Linked DNA regions of Saccharomyces cerevisiae S288C. Changing the gene in region 1 together with any one later gene gives a genetic interaction. Each region holds a gene or a part of one and is shown in the gene's direction. Other genes may lie near its edges.

Region 1 (3,117 bases):
AACCCAGCAATTGGTTTGTTTGAGGTAGCAAGTAGACGTTCTTAAATGGTTCCGAAGACATTTTTTGCAGATTTCTAGGTTTGCTAACGAAAGACCCTTTGTTTGGATAATATATAAGATATGTAAGGTACAAGAATGGAGAAGCCAAAAAGAATAACGGGTTCATGGTTCAAGAAGAAATGAAGCTAGTATTGGAAGAGGATTCTTACCAATATATATATCTCTTTTGAGGCAGCTTTGAAAGAAGAAGTGAAAAAAAAAAAAATTTTGAAAAAAAAGACGGAAAGGGAAAAGTCCGCCGGAGATAATTACAACTGTCGATTTTTTATGCGATGAGATAAGCTTATAGAAAAACCGGCCTTTCTGTTATTGCAATGACCTGCTTTATAGTTTATGAAATAATTACATAGGTCGATTACTAGTAGAATGAGGTATTGTTATTAGGCAGTCATGAGAAAGCATGTCTTCAAAAAAATAGTTTGTGGCGGGGATTTTGCTGATTAAATACCTTGTGAGTGTCGTTGACAAACTCTAATACGACAAGTGGGACGATTCATCAGATGCAATCACCACTTGGATGCGCCTTCCATCAACTAGAGCGCCATGGAACAGTTTTCTTACCTTCTCCAAAGACTGTGTTGTAGGATATGCCAGACGGACCTTAGCGGTGGCAGATCCTGAAGGCAGGTCTCTAACCCTAATTTGAGCTATCTGCACCTGAGAAATGTTTTCCAGAACATTTTTCAAGTTTTCTTGGTTTACTCCCAAAGTTAGGTTGAATAGCATTAACAATTTATCTGAAGCATCTGAATTTGTAGATATCACAAGCTGGCTGCCACCTTGTATTTCTTCGCCAAAATGTTGTCGCTGCAATTTAATATTAGTGGTAAAATTCCGAGAGTTCTTGGCCCTGTTCATGCCGTTTGCTTTTTCGCTCTGCCAATCGGTTCCTCTGTGGGCATTGCCCCAGTCAGGACTGCTGTTTATGTCTTTGTGGGGCCTATTATTCTTTATTCCCTTTTTCCTATTTCTTTGGGAAACATTAGTTCTTTTATCGATAGCACCCTGTGCTTCTCTTAACAGTACACCGACGTCATTGCTGCTTACTAGCTTACCGTTGACAACGCTAAATCCTTCTTTAGTGTGTTCTACGGTTTTTTTTTTCGCTACGCCAACTTTTTTAATCTTGTCCATGGGAACCACTCTGTCTATTAAGCGTTTACTTTGAACATTTTTCTTGGAGGTTGTTCTATTTCTAGCCATTTTGTGCTCTGATAGATATTTCTGCCTGCTCCAATCTAAGACATTGTATATTTTGAGGTTACTATGATCTCTAATCAATTCACGGTGTGTATCTTCTAAAAAATCTATGGATGGACCTTTTTTTTTTTCGCGTTGGCCCTGAAAGTTCCCTTACCCGGTTGCTTTTCCTGACAAATTTCTGTAATGACAGTAAATGAGGATGAAAAGTAGACTTTGGATACAATATCACTGCAGATTCGGCAAACTGAGGTGTTGATGTAAGTTGTTCTCACCGTGAATACTACCTCATCAATATGTATTGGGTAAGTGCAGCTCTTTTTTCTACCGTAATATTTCTTTGTATGGTAAAGTCTCGAACACTTTTCCTTTCCTTTTTTTTTATATTTCTTTTTATGCTAACTAATTTTTCTCTCTTCGAAAATCCAAAAAGAAAGTTTCAGTCGTACCTGGTACCTTGAGTCGCGATTCTTCGTAGTACAAATTATAAATCTAGACCCCACTTTGATTACTTTTGATGCCAAACGTTTCTTTTGACCTCTTTCCTTTTTACTAGCATTTGTAAAAATATCCATGTTTTTGTAGCTCGAGGAATACTATATAAAGGTGAACCTCCTCCTCAAAAATAGCCAACATTAACTTCAATACTTCATGTAATTTAATTTTTATAATCTGTTCAGTCAGCATATAAAAAATATAGAACAGAATCAAACGAACATCATAATTAATCTACCATGAAGTGCACTTTAGTTTCCACATTGTTTGCCATCACCAATATTCTAGTTGCACATGCACAAGTAAGCAACTCCTCAGACACGTTGGACGTACAATTTGCGAATAGTACGAACTCGTACATAGAAGGAAAATTTAATTCGACTGATGAAGCCTTCAACAGCAGCGCATCTTGGTCCTTAGCAGCTCAGCAGAAAAAGATATCTAATGCAGCTGTATATGATGTGGGTGGTTGGAATGGCTCATTGTATCGTTCCAATAGAAGCGCTGTTGCAGATCATCAACCCGGCAAAAAGCAAGATGCCGCTATTTCACAGATCAGTGATGGTCAAATCCAAGCCACTGCGTCTGGACCTGAGACTACCGCTGCTACTACCCCAAGTAGTACCGCAAATGTCTCTGTCTATGAAGGTGCTGGTATGAAGGTTGAATCCAAGAACATGGGTTATATAGTTGGAGTAGCAGCGCTATTATTTTTATAATTTGGCCTCCAAATGTAAAAATTGTACAATTAAGGACAATAGTATTTTCATTTTATAAAAAATATGTACATGTTAGAATTTTATAAGCCGAAAAAGCAGTCATTTTACCAGTTGTTTTATTCTTATCAGATGTCATATTCATGAAAACATAACACTGGCCTACACATTACACTGATTTTGTTCTTTAGGACAAGAAGTTTTCCAGAAAGAGTTTGCTGTCATTCACCACCAGTATATTATCATATACAGTATAAGGAGATGACATGAGTCGTGAGAAGTAGTCAGCGAACTTTATGAGAGCTCAAATACAAGGATTGGTAAAGCAATAGTAAGAATTGAGTAAAATTATTACACAACAGTTGGGATTTCGTTGTTGTGAAAGGTTATAATATTAGGTTTTCAAAAATATATTAAAAGCCACCCTCGAAGATACAATAATTCCAAAAAGGGTATCGATACTTTTACACAATATTATTCTATTACACTACTAGTCCTTGCGTTTCAGCTTCCTTTATTTTTGATGACTTTTTTTCAATCTTTACGTAATGTTCTTACACACCATGTGATAATACACTACTAATGTGACTACTAGTTGACGGATGATGATGTTCCTTATTACAGCAGTGTCAAGCCAAATGCATAC
Region 2 (3,926 bases), on another chromosome or scaffold:
CCTGAAGAAAGAGGCCATGAACATTGAAAAAAAGCTAAGTGAATCTGAAGAGTTTTTCCCACAGTTTGATAATCTGGTAGAAGAGTATTCTATTATCGGTAAGCATAGTGTCAAAATATTCTCTATGTTGGAGAAGTTTGGTCAGTTTCATTGGTTTTACGGCATTTCTATAGGACAATTTCTATCATGTTTCAAACGTGTCTTCATTAAGAAATCTAGGGAAACAAGAGCAGCTAGGACACGGGTAGATGAAATTCTTTGGCTATTATATCAAGAAGTATATTGTCAATTCTCCACCGCTCTTGACAAAAAATTTAAAATGATTATGGCTATGACGATGTTTTGTTTGTATAAATTCGACATTGAAAGTGAACAATATAAAGAGGCAGTTCTAACTATGATTGGAGTTCTCTCTGAAAGTAGCGATGGCGTACCAAAACTAACCGTAGATACAAATAATGATTTGCGGTACTTATGGGACTATGTTACAACCAAATCGTATATATCTGCGTTGAACTGGTTCAAAAATGAGTTTTTTGTTGATGAGTGGAATATCGCGGATGTGGTAGCCAATTCCGAGAACAACTATTTTACAATGGCAAGCGAGCGAGATGTTGATGGCACATTCAAATTAATCGAATTGGCGAAAGCCTCGAAGGAATCGTTAAAAATCATCCCGCTAGGGTCTATAGAAAATCTAAACTATGCTCAAGAGGAAATATCAAAATCTAAGATAGAAGGTGGTTGGATATTATTACAAAACATACAAATGTCGCTATCATGGGTGAAAACGTATCTGCACAAGCATGTTGAGGAGACAAAGGCGGCAGAAGAACATGAGAAATTCAAAATGTTCATGACATGCCATTTGACTGGTGATAAACTACCTGCCCCATTGCTACAAAGAACTGATAGATTTGTGTATGAGGATATCCCAGGTATACTAGATACCGTCAAAGATCTATGGGGTTCTCAATTTTTCACTGGTAAAATTTCAGGAGTATGGAGCGTGTATTGTACCTTCCTATTGTCATGGTTTCATGCCTTGATCACTGCCAGGACCCGATTGGTTCCTCATGGGTTTTCCAAGAAGTATTACTTTAATGATTGCGACTTTCAATTTGCCTCAGTGTATTTAGAGAATGTATTAGCCACCAATTCTACCAACAACATTCCTTGGGCACAAGTGCGAGATCACATAGCTACGATCGTATACGGAGGAAAGATCGATGAAGAGAAAGACCTTGAAGTGGTCGCTAAACTTTGTGCGCACGTATTCTGCGGCTCGGACAATTTGCAGATCGTTCCTGGGGTACGAATCCCACAGCCTCTTCTTCAACAAAGTGAAGAAGAGGAACGGGCAAGGCTTACTGCCATACTGTCTAATACGATTGAGCCTGCAGATTCACTCAGTTCATGGCTTCAATTGCCAAGGGAATCTATTTTGAATTACGAACGTCTTCAGGCTAAAGAGGTGGCTAGCTCAACTGAACAACTTCTTCAAGAAATGTAGCCTTTTCAGGTACGCGTGTCTTGCTTGTCCGCGGTTTTCTCAGTGGACGTGCCTATTCTGGGTTCCTCTTGTTTGATGAGACTCTGATATCTACAATCCAAAAAAATCGGTTGTAGGAAGATGGCGTGCTTCTAATTAAAGTAACGTGGGGACTCTTATTTAGATACTTCCTAACTACGAGCACGTACGTCTAGAATTCATGTTATATAACATAATGATTTTTCCTTATTTTCTTAGTTTTTATCAGCCTTGCCTTGGCTTCCTTCTCAACATCTAGTTGAATTGATAACATGACAAAAAGAAGTTAGGCAGTGGTAGTCTTCAAAAAAATATACAAAATAGCAAGCCTGTAAAAGAATTTAATTATGACCATTATTCAGACGGTTACTGAATTGGGTGTTACCGAGGACACCATTAAGGTTCAGATGGCTCCTTCCGGCGGCAAACACCTATTGGCAGATCCCGGTAATCATCCAGCGGAGCATTTTGAGAGCCAGATGTCGTGGCTAAGGTTTCAAACAAGGCAGTATCTAACTAGATTCACAGACAACCAATCAGATTTCGTACATTCTTTACAAAAAAAGCACAGAACGCCTTTTAGAGACGTTTATTTCAAATACACTTCGCTTATGGGTTCCCACATGTTTTATGTTATCGTGCTTCCCATGCCTGTGTGGCTTGGATACCGCGATTTAACACGGGACATGATCTACGTTCTTGGTTATTCAATTTATTTGAGTGGCTACTTAAAGGATTATTGGTGCCTACCAAGGCCAAAATCACCGCCAGTTGACAGAATCACACTAAGTGAATACACTACGAAAGAATATGGTGCACCCAGTTCACATTCTGCTAACGCTACTGCGGTAAGTCTATTATTCTTTTGGAGAATATGTTTATCTGACACACTGGTATGGCCAACAAAGCTTCTTTTACTGAGTCTGGTGATATTTTACTACTTAACCCTGGTTTTTGGTAGAGTTTACTGCGGTATGCATGGTATGCTGGATTTATTTAGCGGCGCCGCAGTTGGAGCTATCTGTTTTTTTATAAGAATCTGGGTGGTGCATGCTTTACGAAATTTCCAGATTGGTGAACATCTCTGGTTTCCCCTTTTGAGTGTAGCATGGGGCTTGTTTATTCTGTTTAACCACGTCAGGCCCATTGATGAATGTCCTTGTTTCGAAGATAGCGTAGCGTTCATTGGCGTAGTCAGTGGGCTGGATTGCAGCGACTGGTTAACCGAAAGATACGGATGGAACCTTGTATGTAGTAGGTACGCATCATGTGGTTCTAAGGTGTTCTTGAGGCCTCTGGTAGGTGTCGCTTCTGTGATTGTTTGGAAAGACGTCATTAGCAAGACAGCTGTCTACACGCTGTTAATTAAACTACTCAGATTTCACGATGATAGAAGCGAAAAGGTTCATTTCCATAACGAGACAAGTGAAGAAGAAGAGTGTTTATTGTACAGCGGTGTTTCCAAAGTGGAAATCGTCGGAAGGTTTCTCATATACGCAGGTATACCTACAACCGTCTTTTTGCTATGCCCAGTTTTTTTCACTTGGACAAACTTAAGGTAGACTCTCGTATGTATGCATTTAGTGACTTATACATATATATTGTATCTACATAACACATCATTGAAATTCACCCCGATGAGTACATATTTGGAATTCAGCATTTTTTTTTTCTCGCTTTTGATAGCCAGCCCATCTATGGTGCTTACTAATGTATAGAGAGGATATAACAATGAAAAATCAAGATTTCAGGCATGAGTCAAGACTTTAGCTCTTTTATATACCTTCAGGATGTTCGTACCATGCGTCGCAGGCCCTAGATCGGCGTTTTGGGTTTTACACATGCATGTTTGCCGTGGTTCACCCTCTTTTAACCCACAGGAATCGCTACTTTGACACCCCCGATCGTGTCTCTTTTCGGTATTTTGGCACCCTTTCTTGAATGAGAGCATGGCGAAGACTGAAAGGCAAGAACACCCTGCTATCTTTTGCCTACCATTGGCGAACGTCATCTTATCTAAGTAGTAAGCTGTATATAAAGATATTTGGAGGTTTTATTGGAATCTCATAGAATTTTCACTTTATCAGAGGTTTATTGACGAAGACTTTCGTGAGAAGTACAAAGTGAAGAAGTAAAAAACTCAACCGAAATATCAGTTAATATTATGAATACTTCAGAACTGTCAATAGCTGAGGAAATCGACTACGAAGCTCTTCCATCACATGCTCCGCTACATTCCCAGTTACTGGCAGGAGCATTTGCAGGTATAATGGAGCATTCTTTGATGTTTCCAATAGATGCTCTGAAAACCCGAGTGCAGGCTGCAGGATTGAATAAAGCTGCCTCTACAGGGATGATATCTCAGATATCCAAAATATCTACAATGGAAGGTTCG

The links.
Region 2: mutations in ANS1 (region 1) and YSR3 together harm fitness more than expected from each alone (negative genetic interaction), as found in Saccharomyces cerevisiae (2 studies listed by BioGRID).

The regions. Positions count from the first base shown.
Region 1 is NC_001140.6:359,059-362,175, reverse strand, and holds ANS1 (Ans1p), read left to right. Parts: upstream 1-1,994; coding exon 1,995-2,474; downstream 2,475-3,117. Other genes in the region: FUR1 (uracil phosphoribosyltransferase), read right to left, coding at 1-61; YHR127W (uncharacterized protein), read right to left, coding at 532-1,263; YHR125W (uncharacterized protein), read right to left, coding at 3,013-3,117.
Region 2 is NC_001143.9:533,234-537,159, reverse strand, and holds YSR3 (sphinganine kinase YSR3), read left to right. Parts: upstream 1-1,878; coding exon 1,879-3,093; downstream 3,094-3,926. Other genes in the region: DYN1 (dynein heavy chain), read left to right, coding at 1-1,513; MRS4 (Fe(2+) transporter), read left to right, coding at 3,696-3,926. UniProt on the Saccharomyces cerevisiae protein: Dihydrosphingosine 1-phosphate phosphatase required for efficient ceramide synthesis from exogenous sphingoid bases. Involved in endocytosis and calcium-mediated signaling.